Arabidopsis thaliana: one gene and its partners. The protein of the gene in region 3 interacts with the protein of the main gene of each other region in a pairwise test. Each region holds a gene or a part of one and is shown on either strand. Other genes may lie near its edges.

Region 1 (7,177 bases), on a different chromosome or scaffold from region 3:
TGTCCGAGGCCATCTTCCCTCTACCGTTTCTACCGTTCCTCCCTGGGTTCAACAACGGCTTTAGGGACAATGAGGCTGTCAAGGTTGCGAAACCACAGCCTGCAGGAGCAGTTGGTGGAAAAGCCGCAAGAAGGCAGCGTGGCGGCGGTTTAGACGCTCAGACAACCTGGGGTGGTAAGTGGGAGCTCTTCTTGGAAAACTCGGGTGTGTCAGGGATGCATGCGATCCTTATGCCAGTTATCAACAAGGTCCAGTACTATGACGCCACCATTTGGAGAATTTCAAAGATTAAGTTGCCTCCAGGCGTACCATGCCATGTCGTGGACGCTAAGACTAACAAGGTCGATTGTTGGGCTCATTCGATTCTCATGGATGTCAACACCGGCGCCCTTAAGCCTCTAGGGGTATGTTCAAACTCACGACACCATCTTTTTTTTTTTTTTTTGGGCCTAGGCCTAGACACGGGTTATCTTCTTCTCATTAAATAGAATCATATTATACGAACTTGAATTAAATATTTGCATTCACATGTTTCATGATAGCTTTCCACCGATACATGGTGCTCATCCGGAGGTCTGACCGTAAATGGTACATTGGTGAGCACTGGAGGATACGGAGGAGGAGCCAACACCGCGAGGTACCTATCCAGCTGTGAAAACTGCAAGTGGGAAGAATACCCTCAGGCATTGGCCGCGAAGAGATGGTACTCAACGCAAGCAACTCTCCCTGACGGAAAGTTCTTCGTGATTGGTGGAAGAGACGCCTTGAACTACGAATACATTCCTGAGGAGGGACAAAACAACAGGAAGCTCTTTGACTCATTGCTCCTCAGGCAAACAGACGACCCGGAAGAAAACAACCTTTACCCTTTCGTCTGGCTTAACACCGACGGTAACCTCTTCATTTTCGCTAACAACCGATCCATCCTTCTAAGCCCCAAAACAAACCAAGTCATCAAGGAGTTCCCTCAGCTCCCAGGTGGTGCCCGTAACTACCCGGGATCAGGTTCTTCCGCACTCCTCCCCATCCAACTTTACGTGAAAAACCCCAAGGTCATCCCAGCCGAGGTTCTCGTCTGTGGTGGTTCCAAACAAGACGCGTATTACAAGGCTGGTAAAAAAATATACGAACCAGCACTACAAGACTGCGCCAGGATAAGGATCAACAGCGCAAAGCCACGATGGAAGACGGAGATGATGCCAACCCCACGAATCATGAGTGATACTGTCATCCTCCCTAACGGAGACATCCTTCTAGTCAACGGAGCTAAACGTGGTTGTTCAGGCTGGGGATATGGTAAAGACCCTGCCTTTGCTCCCCTCTTGTACAAGCCCCATGCTGCACGTGGCAAGCGTTTCAGACAGCTCAAGCCCACCACCATCCCACGTATGTACCACTCCAGCGCCATCATTCTTCCAGACGGTAAGGTTCTTGTCGGTGGCAGCAACACCAACGACGGTTACAAGTACAACGTTGAGTTCCCAACGGAGCTTCGCGTTGAGAAATTCTCCCCACCTTACCTCGACCCGGCTCTAGCCAACATAAGGCCAAAGATCGTCACCACCGGCACCCCAAAACAGGTCAAATACGGACAATTCTTCAACGTGAAGGTCGACCTTAAAGAAAAGGGAGCAACCAAGGGAAATCTCAAGGTTACCATGTTAGCCCCTGCCTTCACAACACACAGTATCTCAATGAACATGAGGATGCTCATCTTGGGTGTCAATAATGTCAAACCTGCTGGTGCCGGTTACGATATCCAGGCCGTTGCACCACCAAATGGAAACATCGCTCCACCGGGTTACTATCTTATCTTTGCCATCTACAAAGGTGTTCCCAGCACTGGAGAATGGATTCAGGTCGTCTAATGACGATAATTTTTACCCATTTTGTCTTATGACCGTAACATCTTAATATAAAACAATCACATAATATCAGTTTTTTTTTCCTTCTATATATATTGTTTATGCCACCATTAATGGATCCAAATTACTTGTGTTTTCTTTCACTTCTATAAACTTTTCCGTTCATGTAAACCTTTTCGGTGAGTTTTTATGACTAAATTTTGTATTGGAGAAATTCTTTTATTATTACTTTTGGCTCTATTCTTTCTTCACTAGTTCGGTTTTGCGTATAAATCATTCGATGCGTTCATTGCAAGTCACTGTTTGTTTCATTGACTAGTAATGTTAATTACCTTCGATAATATTGCAGAGAGTTAGCTAAAATTCTCAAAAGATGGTACACAAATAGTTCTTTCGCAAAATAGATCTCACAGAAACAGAGTCACGGTTTTACAAAATTCGAATTTCACAGAACACAAAGCCAAATTCCAAATACAATAAAGCTCGTACCTAACAAAGCAAGTCCGATTTGAGTTTCTTCCCCTAAAAGGATCCCAAAAGCGGCGGTTGCGGCAAAGGTTGTGGCGTTAGTCACCGGAACGGCAAGAGAGATGGGAGCGTGACTGAGAAGGGCGAAGAATGTGGCGGAGGCGGAGAGGTTTATGAGGAAAGGAATTGAGTATTGCCAGAAGAGGAGGAGATTGATCCAGTCGCGGAGAGCAATCATGATTTTGCGGCGGATCTGAAGAGGAGGAGAATGAGATTCTGTTGTCGAAGAAGACTTTGTTTTATCCCAGGCAAGAGCGCCACGACGGATCAGAGCATTGGTGGCTCCCCATACGAGCCCTACCGCCACCATCTTATCCATGTCTTCCTTCATCGCCGGTGGCTGATCCCGATTTGCCTTTTCCGTTGTTCTGTGTTTTAACCACTAAATGTTGAGTAAAGGAGATCAAAAAGAAGAATTATTTGGATATCCAGAACCGACCCGAACCCGAAAGGTACCGAACTAAACCCGATCCGAAAAATTTAAAAATCCAAATAACGGACCCGAATACCTGAATAGTCCGGATGGTAAACACAGATCAATGGTATTATCACAAACCACTAAATTACATGTCGTCATCAAATAATGTTTCATTACAATACTACTACACTACTAGTCATTATCAATGAGCTTCAAAATCCATTAGGAAACAATGTTGTAGATTAGACGTTACAATACAAAACACCAAAGAACAAAAATACCAAAATATTGTTACACACTGAATCACACTTCCTTCTTAGAAAAAACAACAGGAAGCAATAGTCAAAACAAGCAACAATCATGATCAAACACCAAGTCTCATGTCCAAATCCTAAAACCAATGCCTGCATTGTTATATATGTACATTCTCACACACTTTAACCTTCTTCTATTCTCTCTCTCTCACTCTCTTTGTGTTTTTCTTCTTCTATGCCCTGTTCTATTACCTTCTCTTTTCACTATCAGTGTCTGTCACTAGGGCTTCTCATGTTCTCTAACTTTGCTAGATATGAAAATTTCTTCGGTAGAGCTCTTGGAGACTTCATCATGGGCTTCTCCTTCTCCTGCTCAACTTTGTGGAAGAATTCTATATCACTCATTGAACTATGCTTCTTAGTATCAGATGACAATCTCCACCCTATGAAGTCTGATAGTTTCCTCGAGTTTGGTGTTTCCGCTGCAACCACCTTTTCAGTTTCCTCGTATTCTGATTCTGCCTCGCTTTCTGATCTTGTCTCTGCCTCTCCCATCAACTGTCTTTGAACTAGCCGATCGGCTTCAAGAACATCCTCTATTCTTGACATTATCTTTGAAGCAAGACTCTCTAGTACCCTTGAATAGCTCTCCAAAATCGCCTGTCCAACATCCTGTAAGATCAAATCACAACAAACTCTTACTCAGTCTCACTACATTTTTGTTGATGTTTGTTTAGTCTTTGTTATGTTATGTTACCTTGTTGTTTTTAATCTTGGAGACTTCAAGGGAGGATTGTGGGATCCCAGGAAATTGTTGTTTGAGCATAACCAAAATGGTCTCAGCTCGGACTTCGAAAAGCTCCCTCTTCTCTAAGCTAACAGTGGATCCCCACTGAGATTTCCCGTCTTTCTCTTTCTGGCACATCTTCCTCTTCCAGATCACCATGGAAGCTTCAATCCTGTTCTTTAGATCAAGTACTTTGTGTTCCGTTGACAAATCCAAGAAAGAGACAAAGTAGTCAGGATCAAAGCTCTCCTCTGTTATGCTCTTGTAAAGAAAATCTCCCAAGCTTGTCTTCCCATTCTACATAACCAACAGCCTCATCAGCTTCCTAGCTTAGTGGAAATTGTAAAGAAACAGAACACTTTTGAAGAAGAAGTAAGTAACCTTTGGAAGGGAATCAATGTAGTTTTCAGGAACGTGCATTTCAGACAATACATGAGCATTGATGGCCGTGGCGGCTTTAAGGACTTGAGCCACAGAATCTTTCTGATTCTGCAACCATCTACGTGATTCCTCAGACAAGCCATCTGTTGGAACCTTAACAACTGGTAACCACCAGTTCTCATCCCTCCTCCAATCTCCATTGTGATCTGCATCCTCCATATCTCTTGGCACATACCAAAAGTCTTTCTGATCCTTGAAGTTGTCCAAAGTTTCCTGCCAAATGAGTAATTGCATTAGTATGATAAATGGTCACAACTCATCTATTTTTGTTTGTTATATATATATATCATGATCATTTTATAATACATGCACTCCTATATGAAATTAATTAATGAGATGGTACTCTTGGTGTTATGACGTTTTCAGTTATATTTATCTTTATAATTTGCAAAGATGACTATGACTTGTAGTATATATAGTAGTTTGTCCTAGTGTCATGGATATTGTTGCAAACAAAATATTTTTGAAACGATGTGGTGTTTGATATAATATAATGGTTTAATTTTTCCCAAACGTTGAAACCGCGGTTGAAACAATCAAGTAGTAATTAAACTCACGAGAAGAACCGAGTCAAGTTTGCGTAAAGCTGGAATGTTCGTCAGCAAATCATCTCTTTGTTTTGTAACCATGATCTACAAAGGAGAAAATTAGGGTTAATAAGAAAAATCGTCACTAGTAGACTAGTAGTTGTTATATATGTACGTAATTAATGACTAACAGTTGCATGCATTCACCTCAGTGAATTGGCCATTTTTACCCATTTGTCTAGAAGGAACAAACTGGACAATGTGATCAATCACAGATAATAACCAACCCATTTCTTTCCTCCAATTCTCTTTTGTCTCCGGATACATAGGCTGCAATTTCATCTGCTCTCCAAACATCGAATCTGCATGCCAATACCAAAGCCACATTAATTAGTTTGTGACTTATTTTAACCATTCAAATCGTTATTAGACATTTAATGTTTTAATCATATTAGTAGTGTTAAAGGTTTACCAGCGAGTTTGGTGATGGCGTTTGACAAAGCTAACGCAGAGGTCTCCCCTGTCCCACCGCCTGACATGTCCTCTCCAAGAAGCAGTTTTGCGAATCTTTCCTTCATCACTTCCATGTCTGAAACAGATATCAATACAAAGATTATGTAAGGAATCCAACATAGAATAATATTAATTAAATAGTTATCAAAAATATATAAATATTAGTTAAAGAACTCATCTTTATACAACGATATTGGTAATTCTACTCTTACCAATTGATTTTCAGATCCAACCCATGCATCTTACACAAATGCAATCTAAATGCAATTCATTATGCTATATACAATACATCTAATGAAGATATTAATACATCTAATTCATTGTGGTTTTGGGATAACATTTTATTCGTTTATGTGGTTATCAAATTTAGCAATAATTAATTATTGCGGATCACATAATTTTTTTCCGTGCAATAATATCATTTTCCTGTCTATATATAATTTATAAAATGAGGACTTCTTATTTCGGTCAATATATATAAGCGGGTAATAAATGATTTAGAGATTCTACATTATCATTAATTGGAGCATTAATTAATTATTGGTGCAATGGATATATTTACGAAAATATGAAATGGATATTTTTTAGAAATTCTTTCACCTAAAGTTTTCTTTCTACCATTATATTATCTCGAAATAAAATTTTCATTTCCATTAAATTAAAATTTTGCCATTACCATTTACCAAATAAACTTGCACTAATATGTTACCTGATCTCCTATTTTGCTTGCCTCTACGAGTGGATGGTGCAGCATGTCCGGCGAGTTCGTGCTCGGGTGTATGCATGCCATCCCCACGAGAAGAGAAAGATGAATGTCCAGAGTTCCGACCATCGAACATCTTTCTAAAACTAAAAGATCTTGGCCAGCTTAGTTTACGTCCTAATGTCCGCACCATTCCCAATTTACTCCTCTCAATTTATATCTCTCCACACACTTTTTTATATTTCTCTCTTCTTTTTTCTTGTCTCAGATCGTATTATATAAAAGAAAACAAAGCAAATGAAATCCACAAAATGGAAGAGAAGAAAGCAAAAGAGACGTACAGATCAAGCAACTAGTCCTTTAGCTCTCCCTTGTCTCTGTTCTTTCACCACCGAATGAAACAAAACTACTTTATGTTCTGTACTTTTTTCTTTCCAGTTGTTTTATGTTTTTGTTTTTTAGTTGGTGCAAAATGAATGAAACAGAGAAATGTTGAAGTAGTTTTCTAGGGCTGGAGAGACAACGTGCGGTCCATGTTTTCAAAAAACAAACAAAAGATAAATAGTGGAAGGGCGGTTAAAGATACTCCGACTTTTCCTTAATTTATTTTATCTTTCATTTGTTTAGAATTTTACCTCACGCTGCTCAGGTTTTGATTCACTGGAACAATTTCGTGTAAGAAAATTGTTCGTTATTTGAACTAATCCACATTTCGTTAAATGAGCTTGTAAGAACATTTTCTAAATAAAATATGTCTACAAAAATGTGACTGGCTCAACCGATTAGAAAAATGATGTTTTAGAGTTACCCGCCGGACCGAGTTAGAATCCTATGTGCTATAAACTTGGAGAGGGATAATTTATGTTTTGTGGATCGTTATTGTTTAAGCCTGATCTCGAATTAAGTAAGACTATGGATCAAATATAGCTGGAATTTACAAACTTAATAACTTAAAAAGAGAGACAATCGAATTTTAAAATCAGATTTTGACTAATTCGTTAGTGCAACAGTAGCATGGAGGCATGTAACACGGCGACTCTTTACCAAGTCTAAACATTTCTGTTTATCCTACTAATTTAAAAGATTTGATTTCAATATCTTATAATACTGCTTTAATCGTTTAATCACGTCGTGTAATTTA
Region 2 (7,876 bases), on a different chromosome or scaffold from region 3:
TTTATAACATCTTACTACAAACAATCATAGGCCCATCAGTTTTTCAGTTATCAAAGCAGAGAGGCCCATTTTACAATTATACTAAACGTCATATGATCTCCATTCTTCAGAGAAACAAGTCCAATCTTATCATTTACATGAAATCTAAAACCCGCCACGTGATTCGTCGATTACACAGAACCCATATACCTGAAGAAAAAAGAAAAAAAGAAAAAAAAAAGCGAAATTGTTGTTTGAACGTGTGGTCGAATTTTATCGTGGCGCTGAATTAGCATCCACAAGTGAAGAAAACAGAGAGAGAAAGACAGAGAGATCTCTCTCTCCTTCACACACACAGATACACATGGCCATCGCGAGCGGGTCATGGGTAGCCACTGTGAACCACCATGCTAATCCCCACAGCTTCACTTCTCCGACCAAACCCATTTTCTTTCTTTCTCAAAAGCCTCACAATTTCCATGTCTGCTCGTCTCGATGCTCTATGGTTCTTGAGGAAGATGAAAAGAAGTCACCGAGTCCTAAAGAAGACAAGTGGCCATTTTTTGAACCTGGTCCGAATGACCTTAACCGGGTCTTATCCAGGTTTCTCCGAGACCCGGAAACTCGGAAACTTTCTTCTGAATTCTACGAGAAAGCTAAGGAGAACTCTGAGTTGAGAACGACCAAGCATCTGATAAGTTACTTGGTGAGTTCCAAGAGTTGGGACTTGCTTGTTTCTGTTTGTGAGGATCTCAGGGAACATAAAGCATTGCCTGATGGGCAAACGTGTTCGAATCTGATCAGGAGTTGCATCAGAGATAGGAAATTCCGAATCACACATTGCTTGCTTAGCGTGTTTAGATCAGACAAATCATTGGCGGTATCTGCATCTGATGCAGCGATGAAAGGCTTTAACAAACTCCAGATGTATAGTAGCACCATTCAAGTATTTGATAGGTTGAAACAATCTGTGGGAGTTGAGCCAAGCCCGGGTTGTTATTGCAGGATAATGGAGGCTCATGAGAAGATTGGTGAAAATCACAAGGTGGTTGAGTTGTTCCAAGAGTTTAAGAGTCAGAGGTTGAGTTTCTTGGCCAAGGAATCAGGCTCTATCTACACGATTGTATGCTCGTCCCTTGCAAAATCAGGACGTGCATTCGAAGCTCTAGAGGTTTTGGAGGAGATGAAAGATAAAGGAATTCCGGAGAGTAGTGAATTGTACTCTATGCTGATCCGTGCATTTGCGGAAGCGCGGGAGGTTGTAATAACCGAGAAGCTATTCAAAGAAGCAGGAGGGAAGAAACTGTTAAAGGATCCTGAAATGTGTTTGAAGGTTGTACTCATGTATGTCCGAGAAGGAAATATGGAGACAACTCTAGAGGTTGTGGCGGCGATGAGAAAGGCTGAGTTAAAGGTCACTGATTGCATACTCTGTGCGATTGTGAATGGATTCAGTAAGCAAAGAGGCTTTGCTGAAGCAGTTAAGGTTTATGAATGGGCTATGAAGGAAGAATGTGAGGCTGGGCAAGTGACTTATGCAATAGCCATCAATGCATACTGTCGGCTTGAGAAGTACAATAAGGCTGAGATGTTGTTTGATGAGATGGTGAAGAAGGGGTTTGATAAGTGTGTTGTTGCATACTCAAACATAATGGATATGTATGGGAAAACACGGAGACTAAGCGATGCAGTGAGACTCATGGCTAAGATGAAACAAAGAGGGTGTAAACCCAACATTTGGATTTACAATTCCTTGATTGATATGCATGGAAGGGCTATGGACTTAAGGAGGGCTGAAAAGATATGGAAAGAGATGAAGAGGGCGAAGGTGTTGCCGGACAAGGTGAGTTACACTAGTATGATCAGTGCATATAACAGATCAAAAGAGTTGGAGAGATGTGTGGAGCTTTACCAGGAGTTTAGGATGAACAGAGGAAAGATTGATAGGGCCATGGCAGGAATCATGGTCGGTGTATTCTCCAAAACCAGTAGGATTGATGAGCTAATGAGGCTGTTGCAGGACATGAAAGTTGAAGGAACCAGGCTTGATGCTAGGCTTTATTCCTCAGCTTTGAATGCTCTGCGTGATGCTGGTCTCAATTCCCAGATCAGATGGCTACAGGAAAGCTTTGACGCTGCACAAACTAGTACTTCAAAATATTCGAATACAAAGAACACAGGAACTTTAAGTTGAAAGGGAAAACTGTACAAGCCAAGATTATTTTTCTTGTAATTAAATGTACTATATTGCCAATAGAGATCTGCTATCTTGCAAATAGAAGATTTCCAGCTTAAGTTGTAAAGCCTTAATGAAAGCTTGGAATTTCCAAAATGATACATCAAAAAAAGGAACGGCTAAATTTTCAATACAACCAAAGAAAGACAAAGGAGTAACACAGAGTGGTCACCAAATGTATTTGTCACTCGGAATCATATGAATGGAAATAGTGAGAAGTACTAGAGCGAGCCAGTGAACCCACCTCAATATACTCATAATTATCTGCTTTCGAATCTCATTTGGAAACTGCTTTACCATCTACGGCTTGAGCTGTTTCTACAACTTTTGCATCACCAGAACAACATCCTCCTCCATGGTGATGATGATGACCGTGGGCGTGGTGATGGTTCTGCTTCCCCTTGAGATTCTTCCGCATGTCATAAGCATCCTCCCCATCGGCGTAGTACTTTGCTTCTACATCATTAATCTTGTAGCCTAATGTCTCAGTGTATAGATTGAATGCTGCTCGGTTACTTCTCCTCACATGCAACGAAACATACTCAGCCTCGTAAACCTGCCACAAAACCCCGACCGAGAATGAATTTAAAAAGTCCAAGTTCGAGAGTGAAAACAACTATCAACCTTTGAGGTCTGCTATTATTAGTTTCACAGGCAATCAGAAACTACTCGTCTCCGTCAGTCAAAAGCATAACACGACCGGAGACAAAACTTAATCTCTTTATACAATCTACAGAGCTTAAGTTACTTCAAATTCCAATGACAATTGCAACAATCACTTTGACACACAAAGTTTCTAACTTTCAATAAAATCCTTTAACTTACACCATTATATCAATCTTCAACATAAACTCAAACCACACAAATTCTTCTATATCATCCAATTATTCAACACGAAACTCTATATCAATTCAATGAATCTGCTTAATTGAATGCAAAGATATACGAAATTTGAAGATTAGAGGAGTAACCTGTTCCATGGCAGCTTGAGCGGCGGTCATGAGCTTAGTGGCGAGACCGAGCTTGCGATGGGTACGAAGAACGGCGAGAGAAGTGATGTGGCCGTGGCACTCGTTGCTCTCTTCCTCCATCTTAGCCAAGACATAGCCAACGATGCGACCATTGTAGTCCTCGGCGACGTAGAGAAGCTGAGGCCATGAGAGGATATGGTAGAGGTAGTACTTCATCTGGTAGTTCTCAGGAAGACACATGAGATTGCAGGCTTGCATCGCCAGCAGATCATCCACCGTCGCTCGCCTGATGCAAACCATGGCTGCTCAATTGCTCTCGCGCGGATAAAGAGGGGTTAGGGTTTTCGGTCTAATGCCTTTGGGCTTTATTAATCTGGGGACGAATTGTAATTATAGAGAAATATGAGGTCTTTATTGAAACTTTTGCTTATATTTTAGGGGCATTTAATGAAATTCATTATAAACTTTTTCAGTTTAGGATTTGAGGTCCAATTGGGCCTTGATTGTAATGGAGTAGGAAGATTCCGATAACCTTCACTTTCTATAAGCTTATTTCTCCGCAAATTTTCTTACTATACGAGATGTCAAATAACTCTGTGCCTTGTAAAGATTATGGATTTCAAACTCTCAGCTAGGCATATCTTTTTTATAGGAGAGACAGTCGAGAAATAATCAAAAGAAGAAGGACAAAGAGAGTTGGTGCAGAGATTAGATAACTGAATCTTCTCTTCTTTTTGCAAGTATCCCTCTAAAATTACTTTTAAAACAATCGGATACTTGCTAAAGAGGAAACATTAGTAGCCTTCTCCCATACTTTTCTAGGACTAAACAGAGAACCTTTGTCTTTTGGCTTCAGGTGGAGAATTTGCTAAACTAGACTGATCCCCTCTTTCTGCAGTTTCGCTGCTCGTGTTTGTTGTCACTGAATCGCTTGACGGGCTCTCTCTTTCTCCTTCATTCGTCCTTCTATCATGTGCCTCTCCCGGCAACCTTGGAGAAAACACAAGTAGTAAGAATTTTATAACTCCAGTTAGTGAGTGTTAAGGCATATGCATAACTAACAGAGGAGGAAAAAGACTTATATTTATCTTAAATCAGCTTTCCAATAATGCAACCAATGACAGCAAATAGACTTAAAAGAGCAATACCCTAATTGCAAAGTTGTGTCTGAATCGGTGTTCTGGAGGCTGCATTTACTGTCGTGGTTTATGAGAGCGTTCTTTGGATCTATAGCAAAGCATTTGATGTAGGATGGAACATAGTGGGTGAACGACGGGAGAAAGCTCCTCAGTTCTTGAACCTGTTTCAACAAGTAATTACAAGTCAGAGGAAGAAGCGTTCATTAGGAGATGATTCAACAAAAATAATAAGAACCTGTCTACGCAAGGTCTCGTTTTCCAACTCTGCTCGTTGTTCCTGCAAAGTATATATATGGCTAATCAAGAAACGAATTATACTTTTGCACTCTGTACCTAGTTATATAGGAGTCTTAAGACAAATAAACTGCACACTAGCTAGTTAGAGCATGAGCTTGTCAAAGGATAGCCACTGGTTTTAACAAGGTTCAGAATCATGTGATTACACATAAGCTTACATTTGGAAGCTAGAGAGGAAAAGCTAGTGTTTACCTTGAGGCGTGATTCTTCAAGTTGGTTAGTCAGCAATCGTTCCTGAAATCAGATAACCATAATCAGGACAATGCAAAGAGAAATGATGATGGAAGAGTGATATTACTAGTTACCTTTCGCTCTCTGACAGTAATCAATGCATGATATAGTTGCTGCTCAAGGCTTTGCAGCTCTTTAAAGGTCAGAGGATTCAAGCCCTTGCCCTGCAGTTGTCTACAACAGAACAGAACACACAAAGCCAAACACTAAAAACAAACACAAAGTAGAGAAGAATAAAGTAATGAACAAGCATAGTGAGATTTATTTAGTTTCCATACAAATGTTTCTCTTGAAGCTTTGAAAGTTGATCCTTTAAAATATCCACCTCTGCACAATCCTCCTGGAGGTTCTAAACAGCAATCAGATTTTCAAAAAAACAATTTCAAGATATATGAGACAAGAATGAATGATTCTCACCTCTGCTTTAGAAGCTGAAGAACTCTGGTGATTACCGTATCTGGAAAGTGTTTGCTTCATTCTAAAATCAAATGAGAATTCAAAATTAGGACTCTCTTCAGCTCAATCAGAAAACTTTTAATCTTAACAAACATGCAAAAACAAAAATCAATTACAGTTCCCGAAATCGATTCTAATCACAACAAGACAAGACATGCAAAAACAAAATTGAATCAAAAAGAAATAAGTGTTACCCAGTACTGGAGTACTCGAAGAGCTTGCCAGACTTAGAGAAGACGATGACAGCAACTTCAGCATCACAAAGAACAGAGAGCTCACGAGCTTTCTTAAGTAACCCAGAACGCCTCTTGGAAAAAGTGACTTGTCTGCTATTCGCATTCTCGATCCTCTTTATCTCGATTTTTCCACGACCCATTTTCCCCCAAAATTGAACAGAGAGAAGAAGGTAGAAGGAAGAAGAAGAAGAGGAAAGGTTCAATGTATTCCAAAATGGGTTTAGAAGTGCTTTTTGGGAATCTATTAATGGGAACACAAAAGATTGCTAAATTTGGATGGAATATTTTTGTTTTTATAGAAAAAAGAAAGAAAGGTAAAAACTCGGTAATGAATGTTGTGTGTTGCATGGCCACTGTTTTGCGTGCTCTCTTTTTTCAATTTTAGGGTTTTTTGCATGATACCTTTTTGCCACATTTGGAGGATTTTGTCAGTTCTTCTGGGTCCTACTTTCCCTTTTCTTCCTAAAGTTGTTTTTTTCTTTCCTCTTTTTTCCTTCCCTTTAAAATTAGATTTATTAGTACTAGTGTATTTTCTCTTTAATGTTGTTGTAAGACATAAATCAGACCAACAATGTTGACCGACATAAAAATAAAAAAAAGTTCAGAGCAACAATTAGAAACAATTTCAAAGTACCCCCAAGAATAAAATTGCAACAACTAGCATTGTTTGATGGTTACCATTATGTTATCAACTAGTGAGAGATAAAAAAACATACTGAGAAGTAATTTCTTACAACTAGTGTAGAACGACACTTTAGTAGCAGCTTTGTAACACCGGTTTTTTTTTTTTGACACTCAAATCAATAAATAGATAACGAGATTTTATCAGAGACTAAGAAACAAATTAAGAAAAGAAGCAGACCAAATCTCATGTTGGATATATAGCCTGTGTAAGTAAGTTTCTCAAAAGTGGTTTGGATAGCCTTCTAATTCAGTCCCTTATTTGTTGACCGTGGAACTGACAAAAATGAGATTCAAGCTAAGGGAAGAATATGGTCAAGGATACGACTTTGCCTCGAGAAAAGTAACCAATGATACGTCTTTTCAAACACCATACATGTTCAATAAAACTGTTCACCTTTGGAAATTATTAACAATTCAAATACACTCACTTTCTTCTTTTGGAATCAGAGTAATTTCAAGCTCTCTTCCAATTTTTAAGACAACTCATATGGCCTGCAATGTCGCCTTCCTATATTAATCTGAACCTGTGGATTATATACAACAATGCAAGAAAGGAGTTCCTTCGATTTAGGTGACTAACTATCAAGTAGATATTTTTCTAACTTTTCCTTTTGAACATTTTAGAAACTTGATTCTACAGACAACATTATATAGCTAGCATCGGATGCAACATAGATTACAATTAATTTACACTAGACGACTGTTCCATGCTTCTTCTATGCAGACTTCCCTCCAAACACCCTTATAAAACTGGATCTGAAAGATTCTCTAACTCCTCTCCAGTACGTATAGTTTGACCCATATAACCACAGATTCACTGCTTTTTTCCAACCATCTCTCGGGAACTCAATTTCTCTACCAATCCTGGACTCCTCCCAATCTTCTTCAGTGTCCTCCAAAAGCGGGAGCGCTTCAAAACCACCAGACTCCAGGTGCTTGATCCACCCGCGCATCAGATAGTTCACCACCTGCTCGTTTTCATATCCCAAATGGTGGGTTCATTATACCTAATTGCAGAGTTTGAAGAATTTATTGACTAGTTCATTATACCTCAGGGACTTCATCGTGTGGGCAGTGACCCGCTGGGCTGATCTCGTAGTATGGAGCGTTGGGGATTTCCTTCTTTATCTTCTTTCCCCATAACGGTCTCACCCATGGATCTTCTCTTCCATACATGAGACATATCTGAACATTGTTTTCCTTACACCTAGCATAAACCATCAAATAGCAGCATTCCTCATAAGCAATAACACCAATCACGCAGAGTAAAAAACATATAAAAACAAGAAACCACACTGTCTTATACCTAGATAAAGCTTCGGAGAAAGATAGCTCTCCACCAGGAGCAAGCATGATTGAAGCAAACGATGCTGCAGCAGCCGGATGCTGTGTGACCTCCACAATACGTGAGAATACTTTATCCACATTGATAGAATGGTCTGTGTAGACCTGTTTAAGTATCTCAGCTATGCTTTCAGGATCACTTATCTTTTGCCACCTGCAGTTTCATTGGGAAGTAAAGATATTAGACTGATAGAGATAGAAATAGAAAATGATACTTTTCAGGTGAGGAGATGTGTTAATAAAGTCTCCCTTACACCAATTCTGTGATTTTTTTCACTCTTTCCGGCAGAGGGAATGCTCCGG
Region 3 (9,083 bases):
TTTCACAACCGAGAGATTTGGACCGCGTTTGCCTCTTCCGTTTATCCTTCCCTCTCCTAGTTTTGAATATTTGGCTCTATCTTGGGCTAGAGATGATAAGCTCGCTGTGTTATATAGCCACTACGACACATTTGACATCATAGAGATTTGGATTTCGACTAAGATTGAGCCCAATGCGGTTTCGTGGAGCACTTTTTTGAAAGTGGATATGTCACTAATCAATGGTTTAACGGATGATTTTTTGATTAGATTTGAACCTAAAAGCTTTTTTATCGACGAGGAGAAGAAAGTCGCTGTACTTTTTGATACTAAAGTGACAGAGACCTGTCGCTACCAAATGGCTTACATCGTTGGAGATGATGGATACTTCAAATCTGTCAACATTGGAGTAATCTCGAATTCCCATTGGATAGGAGGCGAACTTGTGCGCTCTTCTTATGTTCCAAGTTTATTGCAACTGCAAGTTTAGTCCATTTTCAATACTGTATTTGTTTCTTGGTTTGAACGAGACTGCTTTTAGTTTGAAGCAATTGTTGACATTAGTGAAGTAAAGATCACTTTTTCTAGTTTTTTGTTTGAATATTTCAATCTGAAACCTTTTTAGAAATTGAAGATCTTTTTAGATTTCGGGTATTTGATGTTCTAAACATGGATAATATCTGCATCTTGACCAGAGCAAACAAACAGAGTATATGATTATGAAAATTGAATACCTTGTATAACAAGTCACTGAGATATGAAAATTGCATACCTTAGAAGCTTCTCTAGAAGCTCTCCGATCATCACTTTTTGATCTCATTTCACCTGTCCAAGAACAGTGTTTTTCGGTGATTGTAGTATTCGATCTATAAAAGCTACAAGCTTTTTTTATCATCCTTTCTTTGTTGTCTCGGACTTTTGGCAACACGCTGTCTTTTGTCATCCTTCAACTTTCCCTCTTCTTCTTCCCTCTGTCTCTTCTTCTCAGCTATTGCTGCCTCCATCTTCTGCTTCAAAGTCATTTCTGACTCCTTTTTCTTTCGGTCTAAACGGAACCGCTTTTGACTAGGGTTTCATTTCCCTGTCCTCTCAAACCAAAGGGTGATACACAACTAGCTCCAACACATGACAAACGGTCAGAATTTTCTGATACAACTTGGTGATCTTCATCAATTTGACTCCTCTCTACACTTGGCTGTTCTGGTTTGAAGGAGCACGAGCCATGACTCATCGATCCAGTTTCCTTTGACAAACTTTTCCTCTGCATCTCCGTCTCTCTTTTTTCTCCTCTCATTTTTTAGCTCATTGTTCACAAGCTAATTAGTTGCAAGTGTGATGCATAGAACAAATCGCCACGAGGAGGATCCTAGACAAAACTTTTCCTCTAGGGTTGGTTTTAGTCTTTGCCTCATCCTAGACAAAAGGAAGCAAGAGAGAATTCTGAATCTTTCACAAGTCACTGTTAATATATACTGTATACACTTTTATAAAACGTTCAGAATCAAAAGACAAACACTAAAGACAAAACAAAATCAAAAGACAAACACTAAAAAGACATTTCAGTGGTATTTTTGAGTAAAAGAAACTAATGATGATATTTTTGGAACTAAAACTCATTCTAATGGTAATTTAAAAAATTGCCAAAAAACATTTATAGCCCTTCCAATTTTGTGAATTATTGACACGAATACCACACAGTGAATGTATACTCCTCTGCGACTCCACCACAAGCTCCACTTTTTTTCTTGCGTCTAGCGTTGTAAACCCAAATTCATAAGTTGTATTATTAAATAAATGCTTAGGTACTAATACTATTTATTTCCGTTTTAGCCTCCTCTCCGGTAACGTCTGACCTTTGTATTCCTCCGTCCATGAGATTGCTGCATTTGCTATCTTGTTTGTGGTGTTGGGTGGTACAAATCTTAGGTTTAGGCAATTTTAGAAAGTGTGTATGTTAGTTTATGTTCACTTCTACGGGTAATCCAGGATTATGGTATGGTTGCCTCGCTCTCCTTTCTCTTGTTGATAGCCGCTTTGGTCATATAGTTTGCTTGCATTATTTTGGTTTTGTGATAAATGATTTTGTTGAACTTACTTTTGCCCTTTGATGAGTTTTATTGTGATCTCTCCGGTTCGATCGCTTGACTTCTCTCTTCCGAGTTTTGTCCAGAATGAACTCATGTGAGAAGAACTCTAATAAGTCAAAGAAGTAAATAGAGTCTTGACCTCTCTGTCATCATAACGTTTACATAAGCAGCCTAACTACATGTAAAAACTACAAACAAATATATCTTATAAACTGGCGAAAGCCTGAAACCAATAACAGAAGCAAAAACACGGGCCGGTTCAAGCACTATATTTACAAAAAGTTTCAGTTTTCAGGACACTGCAGATGCTCTGAAGTCGACGGTTAGACTGCAGACTGACATCAAGAACACAACTGCAACTACTGCCGCCCTAAAGAGTCCTCCATATGAACATTTCACCGACGTAATCTTTTTAAACACAAAACCGGTCACGTTCTTTGATCTCATTAGCTTTCCACACCTTTTCTTTATACTTTCTCCAACCGTGTCCTCAGCCTGCATAGCATTAACATTTTAATGTCATGGATCGATTCCACTCTGCGACGTGAAACCACATACACGCTAAAAGAAACCAAGGATGAGTAATTCATCAGAAGGTGGGTGTTATTCTCACCTCTCTCTTTATAGCTTGAAGCTCAGGATTCTTCGTGTTAATGCCATTAAAGTTACTTTGCAGACGCAGCCTTCTTGGACCATTTCCCTGCGCTATATAGTCATTGGTATAACCTGAGGGTTGTGCCTGGCGACTCTTAATCTGGATACCCGTCACTGAAACATCATTGCTCATGTCAACTGCTGAGCCCTGTTGACACACTTGCGCAATCTGCAATCAAGTAAAGTAGTTAAGAGTTAATACGATTTCTGTTTTCTAGAAGTACATACAAATGATATAATGAGTTTTGAGGAATCTTCATGTACCTGATCTGGTGCTACAACATCAAAACCACTTTGCAAAACATACTTGTGCTTCTCTGGATCCTCGTCTGGGCTCTTGAGAATCGAATCAAGAAAATCAGATATATACGTATCTACTTCATTTGTACCATACTGAGTCTGGATTTGGAAGCTGTTGTTGTTGTTCCCTGAAAAATTACTCGAGCCAGGCTGGAATGTGTTGTAAGAGGATCCAAGCTCAGATTGGACTTGAGAGTGTAATGGAGAGAACAGCGTGAAATCTAAGGACTCCAATTCCGGATACCATTTAAAATCTACAAGCTGCATGCCGAAAATAAACATCATTAGTATTCAAACAGACACTAGAGACAATCATCTAAAAACTGTCTAAGAGAATTTTTCAATGTCCTCACCTCTGCGGTTGTAGCCTCATCACAAGCATCACTATGAGAATCTCCAGAGATTACAAGAGAAGATTCTGCTATGTCATGACGCTTCACGTCTTCTGTTTTAATTACCTCAGATACTTCTGACTTAGTCACTTCGACAGTTGGAGACGAGACAGCAGGTTCTTCAACTTCATCTGACTTCGAATCTTCTTCCCCTAAAACCAGTTCTTCTTTCTTGAACAATTTGCATATAACAAACGGACTCTGCATATATATATATCAACACAAGCACACAATAAGCTACAGAGCCAAATTTAGTTTTCCAATGGTTACACATCTAAAAGTATGCATTATTTACCTGGCCAGGATTGGTACCACTAAGATCATCCTCCGTGGCACGATACTCATGAATAATCCAATTGGTTCGTGTCCCCCTAGGAGCTCTACCCGCGTGGAAAACTAGAGTTCTCTTCACACCAATAATGTTAGTCTTACCGGATTTTATCTTCCGGTCTTTTCCTGTGGCTTTCCAGTACCCTGCAACTGTTGCCCGGTTCTGTCTACTTCCACTCGGATACTTCCGATCCAATGGACAGAAGTAGAGCCACTCTGAGTCTTTAGTTTTGATCACAGAAAAATCTACAACAAAAAAAAATCACATCTTTTAATCAAATTTCAGTCACTTACACTACACCTTAACAGAGATATAACCACATACCCAAAACTAAACTATATCAAACACATATGATCGGTTTAAAGTTATTAACTTTCTTCACCATAGAAACTAAAGCTACAAATTTTAAGTTCTACCATTTCTCAATTCAACATAATGCCAGAGAAATCAAAGAGGATCTATAGAAAAAGTGTAAATTTATGAATAAAGAGATGAAGAAGTAAGTAAGTAAGTACCAGGTAAATCCCAAGGTTCCCATTTGCAAATATCGATCTCACGGATAGCTTTGACGTCGTCATCGTGACCGTTGATTTTCCTACGGAGATAGTAACGGATTAGCTCCTCGTCTGTTGGACGGAATCTTAATCCAACTGGTAACGAATCCATTGATAATACATGAAGATTCTGATTCATTGATGCTGCTCTTTTAAACGAATCGCGAGAAGAAGAAGAACCCAAGATTTAAAGATACGAATCAGAATTATTTATCTATCTCAGAGATGCGATTCCAAGGTATCGCGAAGAAGATAACAATAAAAATTTAGAGAGAAAACAAAAACCCTAAAAATGGATTCGATGATTTTGGTAAAGTGAAGAAGAAGGCAGATGTGAGCTTTGATTTGGTTTTTTCTTTCCTTTTGTGAGTTCTATATGGTGATGGCAGCGCGTGGTGTGTACACGCGGCAAACCAAGTACGTTACGCGGTTTGGAAATTGTTAAAGTATGGTTTTGCCCTTGAGCGACTTTGGGATATTAACTAGATGCAGGGGTAAAAGCGAGAAGTGAATGACTGTTGTAAAAGAAGGTGATGAGAAATGTCATAGAACGAATGATGTAATGACACGTGGAAAGGAATGGAAGTTTCGGTGCATGTCACTTTGTTTTTGGGATGGTGTTACGCTTTTCTTGACTTTTGGAAACTTGTCTTTTTTAATTTATTTAGATTTTTTCGCTTTCTTTGACTTTTGGAAACCTAATCAAAACTTCTTTCATGAAATTATGTATTAGTAAAAAGCTGCATAATCATTAGGATATTCATCATCGTTTACACGGCGTAATCCTCTTATCTTTGCAAGTTACAAAATTCAAAAAATCGAATTAAAATTCTGGAGCTAGGACCGGCTAAAAATAGAGCTAGCAACAAGAGACGAGAGAGGTCCACAAAACTTCCAAAAGTTTGACGATATCAATGAAGCTTTTCAAATACAGAGAAACATCTATCTAAATTTACTCTTACCTCTCTGCTAAACTCTATTCTTAGCCATCCCCAATTTGAATACTTCAACACACACAAGAAAAAATACCAAAGGCTCTCCATAAAAATCGGAATCATCTTCATCTATATAACCATGATTATGTTCTCTTCATTTGCTCAATCCTCGGGTCAACATTAATAAAAAAGAAGAGAAAAATAAAAAAGTTTGTGTAAATTTTTTTTGCACACTCCACAGCCTAAACCCAACCCAAAATCACAAAAACCAAAAAAATATATAATAATGGGTGGCTGTGCGAGTAGACCCAAGGAATCAGACATGCAAAACGAAGAAGGCTCTGTTCCTAACAAGCCTGTCTCTGAAAACGTAGTAGCCAAGGTAACAATTAATCTCTAGGTTTTAAATATGAAAATTTAATTAGGTTTTGTTACCGAACCGGGCTTAACCGGTTATGATCTTTTGGTATGATTAATTAATACAGGAGAACAACACAGAAAGCGGTGAGAAACAGAACCAGACAGTGGCTGAGACCACTGAAACAACTTCTGTCGAAGCTAAGGAGACATTTCCGGTCGAGCCGACCAAGGAAACAACTCCTGCTGTTCAACCAGAGGTTGCAGCCGTCGAAGAGTCTTCTTCTGCTGATGCTGGTGAGGCTGCAGTAGTTGCACCTGAGAAAGTGGAGAACGCTGCAACAGAAAACGCTGAAGCAAAGGTGGAGGCGGTTGCCGTAGCTGCACCCGAAAAGGTTGAGGTTGCAGTGGAAGCGGAGAAAAAGGCTGAAGCTGAACCAGTAAAGGCTGAGGCTGAACCAGTAAAAGCTGAGGCTGAACCAGTAAAGGAGGAGAGTAAACAAGAAGAGAAAGAAGCTGTTGTCACCGTTTGATGATTAATTAAATTTGTGAAAGTATTTTGAATGTTGTTGTATGTCACCTTGGTTTGATTTGCTACTACCAGATTGGTTTGGCTTTTGTTGTTCTTTGTATCTCAAAATGATTCTTCTTTGATTCAATTAAATATAAATCAGTTTTGCATCGTGAAAATTTGTAATCAACATTTCTTAAGTCGAACGTGTTCGTGTGTGAATTACGATCTCTGATTCTTTTTTCTCCGGAAGATACAATCGAAAACATTGAAAGATGCAAAATCCCCTGAAAACTAAAATCTTTCATTTGATCATTGATCTTTTTATTCTTGTGATGTGACTCCATCTTTCATTTGATTGTATATGCAATCTTAAGTCCTGCTCATAAATCGTAATTGGCAGTGTCAAAGAAAAGAAGAAAAAATATCAAATATTACTAAATGATTTCAATTTAATGTTAGAATGTTAAGAGATGTTTGACTACTTCACGAGGAGATGGGATCTGCATTGAAATACTACATCGAATATTGAGGATTTGGAGACTGAATATTAACACTTAGAGGATGAATGTTGGCAGTTGTTGACACCGGAAATCAACATTGCATCTGTTGGAGTATATTCGAATGTTTTCAAGTGGCAATGAATCCCTTTGATTCTGATATTATCTATCTATGGAGTCAAAAACACTCTTGTTTTGTATCTGGTAACTTGCGGACACAAGAGTTGACAGTTCATCATTCATCAGGATTCGGAGGATTGGACTAGTGATGAAGGTTGTTGTCGCATAAACACTTCTGGTTTTAAGCAGTATATGAAGTATACGGAACATTGTTCTCGTCGCTACAACAAAACTTCTATCATCATGTTACCTCAATTTGTGGTCTCACGGTGGATGGATTCCGTACACCTTCCTCCAAATTCTGATTTAACTCTTTCTATTGGTATAATACAAAACAAGGTGTTTACGTATTTTGTTTTATCCTTGTTTAGCTAGCTTTCTCTAGGTCTAGCTACTCTTTTGTGATGAATGACTTGTGCCATCTATTTATAGTCGTTTTTTCTTCTTCTTAGTTCTTGTTTGGCCAAAAGAGAAAAAAATTCAATTTCAATGGTTAGAGTCTTGAGAAATGTGAGAATGGTTTGATTCAGTTCCTCTTACCGTTACTTCACGGACTTTTTTCTGCCGTCTTACTCTATAAATAAATATCCAAATAACTAATTAATTACATTATCAAATACCATTTCCTGCCCACGCCTATTAAATAGGCCATTTAATATGCAAATATACGAGTAGATATTTTAGTAGTATCTCTAACCATAAATTAATAGACACGTGAATTTCCCCATTAACCGCCAAGAAAAGACAAAAGAAATTGTAGAAAATCAATAAATTAGCTCAAGAAATCTGTAATCATTTTTAAAATTGACAATAAAAATAAATAAATATACCGTTTATTTTTCAAGTAACGGAGTTAGATTGATTTCTATAAATAGTTAAAAATGACCAATTCATCTTCTTCTTCTTCACAAACTTTCTTTCTCCAACAAATATTATTCAGTGCCGAGTCAAAATTAGTGTTGAGAATTTGCTGCTTCTGATCAGGTCTGTTTTATTTAATCTCTGTGAATTTTATTACTTCTTCTTGTTGGATCTCATAATGCGATTTATCAGCTGCGATTAAATCTGTTTGATTGAAATTTATGCCTGATTAGGAAAAATTATCTCTAATAGTGGATCAATTTCGTTTTTTTAATTCGGGTTTTCTTGGGTTATGCAGTGAGTGAAGAAAGTTTGAAGCTTTGAGTAACTTTGAAACAATGGAGGTATTTGGAAAATCTCATGTGGTTGTTGGCTCTGCTAATGTTATTTACTTATCTGCTATATTGGGTCACGAAGGACCCAATCACAAATGTGATTGGAAATGCGAGAATGAGAATGTGTGTGGGAATATGTACCGTTGCAAACTAACTGGGTTGACTCATGTTTGTGACAAGAACTGCAACCAAAGGATTTTGTATGATAATCATAACTCTTTGTGTCGAGCTAGTGGTCGGATTTTCCCGCTTTCTTTGGTTGAGGAACAGGCGGTTAAAGGAGTGAGGAGGAAGCTTGATGATGAGAGTCAACAACAACCTTCTGAAAGTTGTGTTAAGCGTCGTCGACGTGATGCTCAGTTTCATTCTTCTCCTTTTGAGAGGTCTTTTGCTGCTGTGAGTCCTTTTTGCAGCCAAGCTGGTGGAGATGGAATGGAGATTAACTAGTTCTTTTCTATCTCACCTAGAATAACTTGCTTTTCTTTTTCGTTTTGGACAAGTATGCAATAAGAGATATTTACTCATGTGCTCTTACAGAGAGTCTAGGCTTAGCTCTCTGTCTGAAGAAGCACTTTTATCTTAGTATTGTTGAACTCTATGTAGTATTTAACGTAGGAGAGACTTTATGATTCTGCTACTTTGTTCTGGACGTTCTTGTTTTCGCTATTATTAGGTGAAGTAGAATAACACCCTTGTTTCAGCTTTCTTTCTAGTGCTGTCTGATATTCTCCTCTCGCACCTTTTCTTAGCTTTGTATCTTGTTTTTGCTTGCCTCTTGTACCATTGGTCATTCTTTTAAGTTTATTGCGACAGGTTTTTGTCACATTGCTGAAAATTGCAGTGTAGGTTTCCACCAAGTTTTTCAAGACCAATTTCTTTCTGGTTTGTCATCTTGTAGAATATTCCTCTTCATCCTCTCAATGGAGACATTGTTGTATCCTATACTTTGTTCAAATTTAACTTACTTCCTTGCAGTGATTGATGAGCACTAGAAGTTCTGAAAGTTTTTTCTGTTTGTGCAGGTTTCACAATCTTGCCATGCAAGAGAGTTTAGTTACCATTATTTGACTGTTATGTTTCTTAATTCTCAGTGTTTGAGGAGTAAGTCTAACAATTGGAAGCTTGAATTTTTCTTTGTAGGTAGGTCTATGTTTGTGCTCAGCAGGC

Evidence for each region.
Region 1: the proteins of NAC062 (region 3) and AT5G19570 interact in a two-hybrid assay, tested with the Arabidopsis thaliana proteins (one large-scale study listed by BioGRID).
Region 2: the proteins of NAC062 (region 3) and AT5G13780 interact in a two-hybrid assay, tested with the Arabidopsis thaliana proteins (one large-scale study listed by BioGRID).

The regions. Positions count from the first base shown.
Region 1 is NC_003076.8:6,602,286-6,609,462, reverse strand, and holds AT5G19570 (uncharacterized protein), read right to left. Parts: upstream 2,900-7,177; 5' UTR 2,725-2,899; coding exon 2,311-2,724; 3' UTR 2,142-2,310; downstream 1-2,141. Other genes in the region: AT5G19580 (glyoxal oxidase-related protein), read left to right, coding at 1-404, 543-1,868; ROPGEF10 (ROP uanine nucleotide exchange factor 10), read right to left, coding at 3,333-3,737, 3,823-4,149, 4,234-4,506, 4,851-4,925, 5,028-5,182, 5,293-5,409, 6,043-6,229.
Region 2 is NC_003076.8:4,445,118-4,452,993, forward strand, and holds AT5G13780 (Acyl-CoA N-acyltransferases (NAT) superfamily protein), read right to left. Parts: upstream 3,559-7,876; 5' UTR 3,487-3,558; coding exon 3,187-3,486; intron 2,772-3,186; coding exon 2,493-2,771; 3' UTR 2,174-2,492; downstream 1-2,173. Other genes in the region: AT5G13770 (Pentatricopeptide repeat (PPR-like) superfamily protein), read left to right, coding at 344-2,173; AGL15 (AGAMOUS-like 15), read right to left, coding at 4,011-4,176, 4,335-4,486, 4,561-4,602, 4,815-4,856, 4,928-5,027, 5,132-5,202, 5,271-5,331, 5,504-5,685; PPH (pheophytinase), read right to left, coding at 6,946-7,197, 7,280-7,436, 7,536-7,727, 7,828-7,876. UniProt on the Arabidopsis thaliana protein: Catalytic subunit of the NatA N-alpha-acetyltransferase complex. Required for male gametocyte development, embryogenesis, suspensor development and the formation of the quiescent center (QC) in the root meristem.
Region 3 is NC_003074.8:18,360,282-18,369,364, forward strand, and holds NAC062 (NAC domain containing protein 62), read right to left. Parts: upstream 4,679-9,083; 5' UTR 4,437-4,678; coding exon 4,259-4,436; intron 3,989-4,258; coding exon 3,708-3,988; intron 3,614-3,707; coding exon 3,374-3,613; intron 3,282-3,373; coding exon 2,985-3,281; intron 2,890-2,984; coding exon 2,680-2,889; coding exon of another isoform or gene 2,656-2,679; exon of another isoform or gene 2,562-2,655; coding exon 2,358-2,561; 3' UTR 2,162-2,357; downstream 1-2,161. Other genes in the region: AT3G49520 (F-box and associated interaction domains-containing protein), read left to right, coding at 1-469; AT3G49540 (uncharacterized protein), read left to right, coding at 5,519-5,614, 5,718-6,122; AT3G49550 (uncharacterized protein), read left to right, coding at 7,920-8,363; AT3G49551 (uncharacterized protein), read right to left, coding at 8,540-8,707. UniProt on the Arabidopsis thaliana protein: Transcriptional activator activated by proteolytic cleavage through regulated intramembrane proteolysis (RIP). Transcriptional activator involved in response to cold stress.